3 linked regions of the Arabidopsis thaliana genome follow. The protein of the gene in region 3 interacts with the protein of the main gene of each other region in a pairwise test. Each region holds a gene or a part of one and is shown on either strand. Other genes may lie near its edges.

Evidence for each region. The genes of interacting proteins can lie anywhere in the genome.
Region 1: the proteins of CXIP1 (region 3) and AT1G55805 interact in a two-hybrid assay, tested with the Arabidopsis thaliana proteins (one study listed by BioGRID).
Region 2: the proteins of CXIP1 (region 3) and CAX1 interact in a two-hybrid assay, tested with the Arabidopsis thaliana proteins (one study listed by BioGRID).

Annotation. Positions count from the first base shown.
Region 1 is NC_003070.9:20,858,090-20,861,311, forward strand, and holds AT1G55805 (BolA-like family protein), read right to left. Parts: upstream 1,395-3,222; 5' UTR 1,350-1,394; coding exon 867-1,349; 3' UTR 521-866; downstream 1-520. Other genes in the region: AT1G55803 (ferredoxin-fold anticodon-binding domain protein), read right to left, coding at 1-146; UKL3 (uridine kinase-like 3), read left to right, coding at 3,184-3,222. UniProt on the Arabidopsis thaliana protein: May act either alone or in interaction with glutaredoxin as a redox-regulated transcriptional regulator, or as a factor regulating Fe-S cluster biogenesis. The glutaredoxin-BOLA1 heterodimers bind a labile, oxygen sensitive iron-sulfur cluster.
Region 2 is NC_003071.7:15,988,572-15,995,283, forward strand, and holds CAX1 (cation exchanger 1), read right to left. Parts: upstream 4,715-6,712; 5' UTR 4,608-4,714; coding exon 4,323-4,607; intron 4,033-4,322; coding exon 3,965-4,032; intron 3,381-3,964; coding exon 3,352-3,380; intron 3,247-3,351; coding exon 3,050-3,246; intron 2,827-3,049; coding exon 2,602-2,826; intron 2,502-2,601; coding exon 2,373-2,501; intron 2,249-2,372; coding exon 2,132-2,248; coding exon of another isoform or gene 2,028-2,131; coding exon 1,857-2,027; intron 1,749-1,856; coding exon 1,542-1,748; 3' UTR 938-1,541; coding exon of another isoform or gene 858-937; 3' UTR 521-857; downstream 1-520. UniProt on the Arabidopsis thaliana protein: Vacuolar cation/proton exchanger (CAX). Translocates Ca(2+) and other metal ions into vacuoles using the proton gradient formed by H(+)-ATPase and H(+)-pyrophosphatase. Involved in ion homeostasis in association with CAX3.
Region 3 is NC_003074.8:20,340,847-20,344,346, forward strand, and holds CXIP1 (CAX interacting protein 1), read right to left. Parts: upstream 1,619-3,500; 5' UTR 1,526-1,618; coding exon 1,004-1,525; 3' UTR 511-1,003; downstream 1-510. Other genes in the region: LHCA1 (chlorophyll a-b binding protein 6), read right to left, coding at 1-76; AT3G54910 (RNI-like superfamily protein), read right to left, coding at 2,121-2,387, 2,515-2,655, 2,718-3,431. UniProt on the Arabidopsis thaliana protein: May only reduce GSH-thiol disulfides, but not protein disulfides. Probably involved in the regulation of the redox state of the BOLA proteins. May act as Fe-S cluster donors to Fe-S cluster-requiring proteins.

The DNA.
Region 1 (3,222 bases), on a different chromosome or scaffold from region 3:
GCAGAGCCGAAGCAAGTGGCTAAGCTGCAAGAGAAGGAGAAATCTCCTTCGCCTACGAGAAGTATCTGGTGCTTGGATGAATAGTGTTTGACCCACACTTCTTCATCACCGTCTCTGTCTCTGTTAAGCTCCGAGAGCTCCCTCATCGCCAATGTAGTGAAAATGATGATAGTTTGGAAAGTTGTTTTTTTTTCGTTTTATTTATCTTCGGACATATACTAACGTAACTTGCTCTGTTGATGTATAGAAGAGGGACGGTTTAGCTTCTCCAGACAATGGAAATGACGATTCACTTTACCCACAAAAGAAAAAGGTGATCACTGATTAGATTTGGTTTAAGCCCATAAAGTACATATATTTGTTGCTAAAGGAAGGTGACATGGACTATTGGAAAAGGCGTTTTGTTTCTAGCGTTAGCGATTAGAAGACGCAAACGCCATTGATGACAATGGGAGAATAATCTGAAGAAGAAAGAGACAGAAACATGGAAAAACAACCCTTTTGGCTCCAAGCTAACAAACACGGCACAATCGAGCTTCCTTTGAGAATTCAAACACATGACCATTGATTGGACTTTCAACTAAATGGAGCCTTAATTCAATTCATCAAGCTATGACCATTATAGTTTTGAATGCTAGAAAAGACAGAACTCGAATTGAACTAAAAGCAAGTGTCTTTGTTCCAACACACAATTCCAGAAACACCAACACACAACCTCAAGCGTATGTAAAAATGAAGACTTTGGCTCCGCAATAAATTCCAAAACAGAGCACTTTGATGGTAAAAATTCAATCTTTGAATCGAACAGAGTTTGATGAGAAACTCTGATAACAGAAACAGAAGATACATTAAACAGTACCAGTACACTAGTCTTTAGAAGGAGACTCAGACGGCGTCTTGGAGACGATAGAAAGAGCGTGCAATCCAGTATCCAACTCTTCCCGGAGCAAATGATAGACCAACCTGTGTCTCTTCACCAAATTCATTCCCTCGAATCCTTTAGAAACGATCTTCACATTGAAATGCGTCTCATCGTCGGTTCTACCTTTCATTCCGGCGTGACCAGCGTGCTGATACGAAACATCTTCGATCACTAACTCCACTGGTTCGAGCTCTTTTTGAAGCTTCTCTCTCATCCTGCTCGCTCGATTCTCTATTGCTCCAGAATCCGACCCGGTTTTCTCAACGCTGCTCATTGCTACGGATCTTGAACCAGTTCCCGTCGATTTTGACTCAGAGTTGAAGAATTTAGGTACGGAGATGAAGACGCTCGGAGAATTTACCGGCGATTTTAGGGGTTGAGTCCGGTGGAACCCAGATACGATTAACCTAATCGAAGATGAAAACATTGCCACTGTCGAAGAAACTCGAAACTATATTAGACGCTGTCGTTTTGTCAGCTTATCATCTTCACGAATCTACTATTAGAGGCGTTATTTGCATTAAGGTCCACAAATTTTCAAATATAATAACATCACCCCACATTTGTGAGAAAAAAATTACAAAAAAACAAACAAACTCTAAAAGTGTATCGAAACACCCTCATACTTCTTCACATTTGTGTGAGAAATCAAATAACAAATACATTCGAAAAATGTTTGTGTATATGATTTAATATTTTTTTGGTGTGGTTAAAAAACTTAAGACATAATTAAGTAATAACAATTTACAATTGTAACGTGGATATTTTTTGAAATGTTGATTTATGACCAAAATAGTATTAGATGAATTCTCCAAGAAGATCATGGTATGATAAGAATAAGATGGTATAGTGCTAAAACATACCCAAAACTGTAATCAGTTTTTGAAGTAAAGGCAATATCTTTGATTTGGGTAATAGTTTGTTTCGATAATTTTGGATGTACAAAATTAATTTTTAAAGTGGTTCTAAGCTGCTCATCCAAATTTTTTAAGGATCCTAATCTCTGGTCTAAACTTCATTAATGAATCATAAAAAAATCTACGGAACTAAAAGAAGAAATTGATTATATCCTTCAAATTTTATAGACAAACAATCGTGCAGATTAAATTGTAAATATGCTAATTTTGTTCCTGTGTATAATATTTTACATTGTAGCATCCTTTGGTAGTGTAGATGTTGAGAAAACTAATATTAATTGGTAAATTATATATTTCGAAAAACAAAATTCAGGTAAATAGATTTGGAGGAAACATATGAAGTTAAAATGTTATGGATAAAAACAGAATAAACAAATTATTGTAGACGTAATCCAAAATAGTATAAAATAAATAATTTTGCAGTAACGTAAGATTGCATTCGACCACACGCATCTATATCACTGCGTTTTTAGCTGCAGCTTTCGATAGTAGGTCCTACATCCTATTCGGATCTGACGTGGATCCTTGATCACACTCTCTACTTTAGGGACTCAAACACTCTCACATTTACGAGAATTGCCACTACCACGTCCCTCAGTGGGAAGGGTACTTTCGTAAAACCAAAAAAACCACTTTCCGGTTTCCGCAAAAACCCGTCACCGCCGCTGCATCCTCCCTTCATTCTTTTCTCTCTTTCAACGCATATACATACACTTATATACGTTATCAATATATTTTATTTTTAATAAGTCCAGTTTTTGTCTGTGCATCGAGTTTAACAGGCAATGCTCGTGTCTCTCTCTCTTTATATGTTTAGATTCTTTATCTGGAACTTGGAAGCTCTTTTGTTAGCTATATCTAATCGGTGATCTCGAAGCTTATTCAATCCCTCTTTCTTTTTTCGTGAGTTTTTATCTTCATGTTGATTCGGTTTATATTGGTTTATATGATGATGAAACGTTTCTTATAATTCTTTTGCATGTATTGATCTAAAAAAATCTAGCTTTCTTCTCTTCTGATCTCTGTTTTCTTTTTGTTCTTTCCCTTTTTTACCCGGGAAAAAGTTACGGTTTCATGTTTAGGATTGGCGTTACTATTATCTGGTGGCCTATCATGATTGGTTGATTGTTTTGTGTGTTATACTGGATTTGAGAAAATGGGTATCACGGCATTGGCACTTGTGGCATCTAACTAATATCACTAAAAAGTTTGATTCTTTTGAGGAATTGTTTTTTGACTGGAAAGTGTTCCTTTTTGTTCCTGGATGGTGACAACAAAGGTAGCTTTGCTTTCCTTATTGGCATATTTCATGTGAATTTAGATTTGCATATTTGTGTTGTAGGAATGGCTTCAAAGTCGGATGTGAATATAATAGAGACATCC
Region 2 (6,712 bases), on a different chromosome or scaffold from region 3:
ACGAAGAAGAAGAAGAGTGATAATGGCTAAAAAGGAGGAAGAAGAAATTTTACAGAGATTGATTCAGTCGTATATTCACGAAACTGCCACTGTTCTGATTTCTCAGGTGTTCTTTAAAATTTTTTCTGGAGGTGGAGCGTTAGGAGAGGGTATAGATGTAAATAAAGTAGGGCCTAGTGAATGAATCTAAGATCTGAACCGTTGGATATACAACGGCGATTGACTGATTTGACGGTTGATATTTGAATTGGACTGACCAATGAAGCAGCCTCGTTTTTCGTGTGAATTCAAACTCTTCACTTCATTTATTTGTTTTGCAGATATAAATCTAAATGGCCCAATAGCTTATTCATTGGGCTTTTAACCCACAAAAGCTCACCAATAAAGGTCTGACCCTTTTTTTTTTCTGACATTCTCAATCCCACCGAAGGTCTGATTTTGACTTGATGAGATATATGATTATTTGAATTTGGATTTCTATTGGTAGAAACAATGTTCTACCTCGATTATAAAGGAAAATCAAAAATTCCATTTATTTATAGTTTTATAGTATTGACTACTCAGAAAAAATGATAAAACCATTAATAAAAAGAGATAGAACATTTGACACAAGACATTCATAGATAGTTCATTGCAAAACCCACCCACAAGAAGAATTTATAAAGTTCTCAAAACTCATCTTCATCAAGACACCCAACATTTTTGAAAAATGAAATAATACTCACTGAATCTCAGGAATCTCTCTGACAAATCTTTCAATATTTATAAATGAATCAAGAAAATTGGTTTTTGTTTTCCTTTCTCCATTGTCTCTCGCTTTGGAAATTTTGTTTCAACACATTGGTACTTGTCTTCGTTTAAGATGAGAAAACTCCTCCTCCTGTTGCAGTGACGACATTGTTCATCGCTTGATGTCCCAAGTGAATGGCATTTTGTTCTGAAAGATAAAATTATCACAATTTGGTGTTAGGGAATAATTATCATTGTCAATCTAGTAGTAGCATGTAGTATGTAGTAATCTTATTAAATTGGAACCCACCCCAATTAATTTTAAACCTATTTATACCCAATTAATTGACGGTTTTTGCAAGAAAACGTGGATTTTGTGAGAATTTTTTTTTTTGTGAAAAAACAATGAACGTGAAGACCAAATGTTTTTAGTGAGAGTTGTTATCTTCTTCGAGAATTTCAACATTTTTCAACATTTTCTCTTAGTTTCCAGGGATATTTATTTTTCACTAGCCTATGTAGTTTCACAAACTTTTCAATAAAAGTTACAATCACATAAAACAGAATTTCGCAGTTTAAACGGAAAATGTTATTTTTCGGTTTTGGCGGAAGCAACAGTTATGCAGTTTTTGACAGTAAAATTATAATTTTTGTTTGTTTTTGAATTAAAAAAATAAAATATAAGTTTTATTACTATTTTACTTTAGTTATTAAGATATTACTCAAAAATTAGTAAAGAGACTCGTCATAAAGAAAAGCATTTATTTATGTTAAAACTTAGTTAATAAATAAATATAATTGGGGGAACCTATTTAACCCGTTTTAACTTTATTTGATGAAGCATTTCCATTTGATATATGGGTGTTGTATGCCTCAATTATTGTTTTCCCTAATAATAGCATGCATATACATTTGAAAACTAACTCACTCTGGGGAAGTTTGTCGACGAAGAAACAGATGGCAATAATGAAATAGCAAAGCAAGAGGACCAGTCCCTTCATGTAGTGAGAACTCCCATCCTAAAGAACCACAAAACATAACAAAAATATTTAACCCTCAATACTTGGATCATCCATTAATTTGTCTAGTGGATTAATAATTTTGTAAGGTGTCGAAAAATGCTTAACCTGTAATGTGAACGCTGTGATGATTATGGAAACAGCAAGACAGCCAGTTTCGAGGGGACCAAAATTGAGATCCATATTAATTCCCAAAATCCACGCCACGATGATGGTCAAGGGGACAACGAATAAGCCAATCTGAGTCGCAGAGCCTAACGCAACTCCCAAAGATATGTCCTAGAAATTATTTGGATTGATATAAGTTCTTGCATTGTGTCATTATATAATAGATCTCGGGATCGATTAAAAGCGATAATTTTAAGGAATAAAATCGAACTTACAAGCTTGTTCTTAAAGGCAAAAATAACGGCTCCAGCATGTTCAGCTGCATTTCCAACAATAGGAAGCAATATGATGCTTATGAAACTCACTGATAAGTTCCATTTATCCGATGCTTCCTAAACAAAGTTGACGTTATATTAGCGAGCATGTTTCCAACTCAAAACCAATTGGCGATAAGTGTATTTACTATAATGTTTTAGTTGATCATGTCAGTTTCAATGTGGAATTCAAAAGAGTTACCTCAATCGTGGCTACAACATACTCCGATAGCAATGCGATAACGAGTGTCATCCCAACCAACCATGCAAAACCGCTCCAAAAACTAATCACCGCGGTTTCTTGCTCCACATCGTCATCATACTCATCTTCCTGTACCAAATTTCGTATCAAAGATCCATTAGAATACAATAATATATATCGCTACTATATAACATTCTTCTGTTATCTTGTGTGTATAGATTTCAGTTACCTGTTCTTGTGCATCGAACAATTGGCGGTGAGTCCACAGTTGGAAAACAAGATATGCAATGTAGCTGATCAACATAACAATACTGAAGCCTCGCGATATACTCAGTTGCATGTCGGACAAAACAGCAGCCGAAGCCTCTCCGTTTTTCAAGTATCCCACCAACAATGGCAGCAAGTGACACAAGAAACCCAGTAGAAGTAAGAAGAAGTTCACATCGGCTTGTTTCTGCAACAATGACCACACAAATTGATTTCGTTTAGCATATCCGTTATTAAAATTTGGTTCAAACATACCACTTGCTTGTTTATCAAGCTAAACTTTTAAACAAAATCCTGGTTAACACTAGCCGTACAAAACCTATTTCATTCCCGGTTCAATTATCTTAACTAAAAAAAATATTATTGGTTTTGAAATTAAAGTTGAACCGAAGTTAAAAGGGAAGTCATACCCGGTCGAACCGCTGTTCCCTTCGGATATTAGCGATTCCTCCACAGAAGAGTGAAGTCCCTAGAACCAATAAAAGGTTCGACAAAATCGAACCTAGCAGCGAATATTTCACCACTGCGACTTTGTTATTGGTCAAAGCAAGAATCGCGATTATCAATTCAGTCGCGTTTCCACACGTTGCGTTCAATAGACCACCCACTGCGGTTCAAAAACACACAGAAAAAATAAATGAGTTTCTACTGATAAAATAAGTAAATAACGTTTGTAGATTGGAATAAGAATAGTTGGTAAAGAAAACGTTACATGTAGGACCGGTGTAGAAAGCTAGTTGCCTGCACGAGAATCACGAGAGAATGTGAATAATAAAGTTACCACACGAAAAAAAAACTTTTTATGGCGTCACTTGATAAGATGATTCTAGATAATCTCAATGTACTTGATTAGATGATAGAGTTTGTACTATGCTGTCACGTTGACATATGAGTGTCAAATAATTGTGTGTGGTTGTAATAAAAAACCAATCATGCATTGCCGAATCCCCAAAGAATATTGGTCCATGTCCATTTATTTCAAAAAGCATAAATTATGGTGGAATTGGACCTAACTAACGTGATCTTCATGATTATAACCCCTAAGATTTAAAGCAAGTAGTGGGAAAAACTGCAAACTTAGTGGAAAGTATTATGGAGCAACGATAAGTATTACAATGAGTGGTTGGTAACTAGATTTATTTGAAAGAGAGAAAAAAGTATTGATATAACGTGATCTTTTTAACTACAGATGGATAGATACGATTCATTTTATCGACAGTTGGCTAAATTTTGTCACGATCGATAAGAAAATGTCGTAATGTGAAGAATTCAAATTATAGAAATATGTAAATGGATAAAATAAGAGATGATGGTCGGATACTTACTCTGTCAAAAAGCTGACTCGCTCAGCCAAAGGTGTCAGTCCTAGCAAGCTAAGTCCAAATATCCAAGGCTGTAATAAAAATCACGATTTAGTACCATATATTATGTACATGTATATACGTTACAAGATACACCAAAGTTTAATTTTAAAACATCAATGACTACAAATCTAATTTAATAGTAACCGGTAATTAGTAATTTGGATTAGATGTAATTTGGATTAGATGTAATGAAATATCTTAAATACTAATGACAAATTGATAAAAATCTGTAGGCGTTTCGTATTCTAACTCTTTTTGCGAATATTTTGAATGATGTTCTCAATGTATTATCAATGAAACAGCGGAAAAATATGTGTACCTGACTGACGCCACAATAGGTGCAAATAATGGCGGCAGGAATGGCCGGAAAAAGAATGGCAAGCTTTGTTCCGAGAATGACTTCTTGGAGATTAGAGAGAAAATCTTTAAGACCTTTGTATGGAACCTTCTGAATCACTCGGAGGTCTGATTTTTTCCTCAAAGAAGAAGAAGACATGTTGTGAGCGGTTCTTCCAAGTCTTAGTTCTCTGCTCGATCCTTTCGCCGTTATGCTTGGGTTTCCGTTCTCAGCTACTGACCACGGCTCTGTCACGATTCCCGCCATTTCTCTACTGACTCAAAACTTTGTAAATTCTGAGACACAAACGAAGGTTTTTTTGTGTCTCTTCGAATTTTGCTTTGCTGATTCTTTATGTTTGTTTTGTAAAGAAATGGCGTCATGATTTGTTTAAATACTACTGATTAGTTTTGTTTATTGGGTCCACCAAGGCAACTTCCACGAAGTTTCCCAAGTTTCCCTTTGAGATTTTAATTATTTAATTTTTTGGGATTTATGGTTTTAATATTTGGAAACCAAAATCAGAAATGGTTAATATAGATCTTGCAGTTGAAAGTTGTAACACATGGCTCTCAAATCTTGATTTTTGGGAAATAACTCTTTGGAAATCATACTAAATTATAAAGTTAATTTTGCTTAGTAATATATTTATCTAATAGCAAAAGAGTTATGTGATGGTCTTATCTTTCATTACTAAGCAAGGAATATGTTGAAGACTAAAATTTGATTTTCACATTCAATGGTGTTTGGAAAGGAAAAACTATGTAAGGAAAAATATATACTATAAAATCAAAAATTCATTAGTATCCTAAAAATCATTGATTAAATAATCTTCTTATTGATGTTATTTGCCTTCTTTACAAGTTTTGAGATAGCTACAAAAAAAAAAGTAAAACCAAAATCTATAACTTAAAAATATACTATATCTCAAGTCTCCGTACAACTCTTCAAGTGGAAATGTGGAGACTAGAAACAGTCGAACTCTTTTTGACCCAAGGTTTTAGTAAAAAGGTCTACTAGTTGCGTGGGTGTCAAGACATTTTTTGTCAACATGGTCCTTCAGAGAAGTTCGTCGGTGATGAATTGTTATCGAACCATGATTCATTAGCCACTCCAGTAGGTTGGTATGACATGAATGACCGAAAATGAGAAACCTAAAAATGAAATTAAAAAATAAAAAAAAGCCTTGAAAACTGGTTATACACAGTAAACCGGAGAATTCAAGACACCCGGATCTGTACTTCTGTATCAAAATGAAATTCACATACGAAAACAAATTAGCGTCGCTATAAGTCTATAACACATGCTTTAAGAGTATTCTTTAGAATATCCTAAGGGTCCAAATTGTGTCGTTAGTACGAATGCGATGTTGATGGTTTTGCCATGTGGCTTTTTCGGTTAACGAGGAGGTAATAGCTTCATAAAAGGCAGAAGGTGGCTGGTGGCTTTTGTTCGCTAGTGTTTATTATGTTTAACTTCTAGCATGATGTTATTTCATATTCATCTATAAAATTATGATTTAAATCAGGGCCATAGAAGCTCACGGCTGAAGCTACGGCTGTTCTTCACGCAATTCGTCACGCCATCGCTCTTGGAATTTTGACAAATTCACTTTGTTTCTGATTTGTCTCAAATCAGAAATATTGACTTTGTCGAAACAAATCAGTAAACTTTCTTTATCGTTCCAAATTTATTGGATGTCATCGATATTTAATTAGGACCTTAGATCTAACTATAGGGATAAAAATAGGGTTATCTAAAGTCAATTACGCTCCAAAACATTATAATGACTTTGCTACCACCATCGAGTCTATACCATTAAATAAGAGTATTGGAGATTTTGGAAAGATGTCATGAATAAATCAAGGATCGATGAATTTAAACTATACTGTGTGGTGGTGCGTAATTAAATGATATTTTAACTATATATAATTATATATTGTGCAACAACGTAAATAAATCCTTTTAAGATGATTTCTTATACATTGCGTAATGCATCCCTATCAATTGTTCCTTTCCTTAAGTTCTTTCTCCTAACTCAATGGCCTAGAGAATCTTAGATTATAGCGCCCCTAGTCCCGGATAACTAAATTTTCATTATAAAAAAAGATCATAAGTGATCTATCTATGCTTTGTCCAAAGAGAAAAAAGTGTTCTATTTATGTAGTCCTCGTCCATTGATAACGATTGAGCCTGAGAATTTAAATAGATCAAAGATTCAAAATATTAGTATTTAATGAATTATGGTGTGTAAACTGCACTGCAGTACTCAAGCGGATGCTGCCGAAGATACGAGAATTAGGCTATATAGTATTGAAACAAATAAAGCTCAAGTAAAAGATTCTAAAATTATTTCATAAATATTTATGCAT
Region 3 (3,500 bases):
ATTTAGACTTGGAAGAAGAGAGAAGCGAAGGGTACACGGCGGCTATGCCACAGCTCATAAGCGAGTTCGACGCCATCGTTTCTCTCTATCTGTCGTTGTGTTTGCCACCAAAGGAGAAAGATGTGGACGAGAGGTGTTTGGTGGAAGTGTGAATGTGGGAGACTGATCGTATAAGTAAGATTTGTGAGATGAGAATCTAAAACCAGATTGCAATTGGCTATACAGAGCCTGCGTGGCTTTTTCATTGGGCCACGTGTCTTCTCGATATCATGTTCTTCTGTTCGATATCCATCTGCACTATGTGGTTCAGATAAAAGCAGAATCTACGTATATTACTATTTTGCCATTTATCCACTGCAACGAGATGCTATCAGATAAGTCTTCCTGTTCGGTGAAACACATTTCTACTAATGTTTTAAAACTTGACCCGGACCGGTAAATCTGCGATTGGTCATGAATCCGGTCTGGATTTATTGCTAAGACTGGAGACTTATCAAACCGGTAAAACTTGGATCAACGAACACATGCGAGGCTAAATCATATGTCTTGAAAGGAGTATCTAACAAACGATACATTTTGAGACAACGTGTTTAGACATTGAAGTGAGACAGAATACCATTTGCAGACACACTGTACCGGTGAATGTTCAGAATCTTTGGAACTAAGTTTCTTTAAATTGTATCTCAATCAGGATATGAATGAGCATAACAACCCATGACTTCATGTCTCTTAGTCAGAAACAAACTTAGATTCTACTAGCACTACTTCACACATAAACCTTTCAACAAACAACACAAATTTGCAGGCCAACACATATGACAAAGGAAACTCAAATTCCAAGCAACTCCAACTGTTGTATACCTAAATCCATCATACAATATATGTCTCTTAATGTTACAACCACAAACTCTGAAACATCAAAATCACATTTTTTTTCCCAGGTGATAGATAGATAGATAAGATCAAATTCCATCATCACAAAAACCAAGTATTGAAATCAGGATCAAGAGCACATAGCTTTCTCCACCTCTTCCTGCAATTCTCCAGTCTTAAACGCCTCAAGAGTAATATCACAACCACCGAAAAACTCACCGCCGATATAAAGCTGAGGAAACGTCGGCCAATTCGAATACTCTTTAAGTCCTTGCCTCAACATCTCATTCTCCAGAATATTCACATCTTCGAAAGGAACATTCAGATTCTTCAAAATCTGAACCACAGTGTTGGAGAATCCACACATCGGGAAGTCTCTCGTTCCTTTCATAAACAGAACCACTTTCTCCGAATTCACCAGTTTCTCCAGCGTGTCTTTAAGTTGCGGCGTAAGAGCCGACGCTGAGCATCGGAATTTAGTTGGTTTCAGCTTGAGATTCGAACCGTAGAACGATAGCTGATGGTTATGGACGACGAGTGCCGACGTTGGTTTAAGAGAGAATCTGATAGAGTGAGGCTTGTTGGTAACGGAGGAGGAGACGACGGCGACCGAAGTTATCAAGGTCGGCGTTTTGACAGATCGGAGAGCCATTTTTGACGACTTTTAGATTTGGAATTGAGAAATTGAAAAGGTAAATGATTTATGAGCCACAGACACTCAGTGCGAGTGAGAATTGAATAAACCATGTTGCCAAACATCACCACTAAGCCGGTAGTGCATGTCATAATCATGGGTTTAAAAATAAAAATTAGAGGACATTCCGGTTCGGTTTGGTTCGACTCTTTAGATTCCGGTATTTTAGATATTAAGAAATTGGTTGGTTCCACTTGGATCGTATTAGTATTTCGGTTTAATAATTTTAGAGAAATTATCAGGGCATCAAATGCTTTTCAGTTTTTCAACACAGAGCTAGTTCTCTTTTCTTCATTCACAAGGTATGTATATATCTCTACACACCTATAAAACCCCATAAACGATTAAAACTTATCATATAACTTCTCCAATCAACATAATTTGTTTTTTGGTGGACAACATATAGAATAAAGTTTTTATCACATACAAAAAAAACGGAAAACATAGAAAAAGATGGTTGACGAAAACAAATTTTCAGGTTGAAGACAAACCATACGAGCCCGGGGACATGGAAGAACTGAAGAACAAGCTTTGTTTTGGTGATCAAATACTCTCAATCAAACACGAGTTGGCATGTTGTTGAAGCTCTAGAAGAAAGTGCCAACTCCTTTAACATGTCAAATCTTTCATCATCAAAAACACATGACTTGATTGTTGTGGTCTTCAAGTGAACAGCGTTCTTCAAGAAATACACTGCAAGATCTCTCTCTTCTGGTGTTCCTCTATATGCCGACAAGTTGAGAGTTTGGAGACTCAACAACATACATTCAGGGACAGTACTTGGTTGATGCCAGTAAAGGATATCATGATTCTCATGATACTGAGATCAAACAGAAGAAGAATTACAGATCAAACAGAAGAAGAATTACAGATCAAACAGAAGAAGAATTACACTAAAACCATAATGTGCATCAGACAAGAAAAAAGAGTTTGACGAACAAACTTACATCCATTTCGGAAAGGTCTAGTGCTTGTAAGTTAGAAGAATCTTTGAGCAGTCGGACAAGTAAATCCGACGAATGCCCTTTGCATCTACATAGCTTCAGATGTTTAAGCTGGTTGAAGACAAAACCTCCATCATACATAGCCTGCGCAATATTAAAAATTATCAGCAAATGCATATCTAAACAATGAGTTGAGAAAATGATACCTGTGAACATATTGAAAGACGCTTGACAGATGTGATTGATCCAATAAGACTCTTGATGCTATGTAATTCAACATCTATATCTGCCTCTATCAGGTTAGGCATATTCTTAACCAAACAGTAGTGACTCTTACTGTTATGGTCTATAAGTTTAAAATACTTTAAAGAAGGAGTTTCTATCACAATCCCATCGATCTCATAAGAATGAGGTATAAAGAGTGATAAAATCTGCAAAGATGGGACAACAACAGTTAGCTTTTCCATGCTGTCTGACAAAAGTAAATCCACCAATAGATCTTCAAGAACAGGGCAGTTAGATAGAAGCCGATGAAGAGAGTCTTCATTGAGGTATCTCACGCTGTGAAGTTGCAAAGTTTTCAGAGAGGGAAGAAATGCCATTCGAGGAACATCCAAGCGAATCTCGCCACAGAGTTCCAAGATCACAAGCGATTTGCAGGTATACAAGTTACTCGGCAATATGTTTGGCTTCTCCGGATATGAAGAATAAATAACCTCCAGCTCACGCAGGCAGTGAGAAACTGCTATAACAACCCACATCTTGATATTCTCAGGTGTGCATTTTGAATCAATTAAGTAAAGACGGAAGCTTTCTATAACCGGAGCTCTATGTAATGGCAGATTTTTGTCAAGAAAACACTCCAACCTCTTGCATTCAGAAGAATCTCTATGACCATACTTAAGTTTAGGCAACCACATCCAAAGATACTCCCATCTTTTCGACAAAATGCTAGTGGATACAGCAATTTTGTTGGAACAAACAATAAT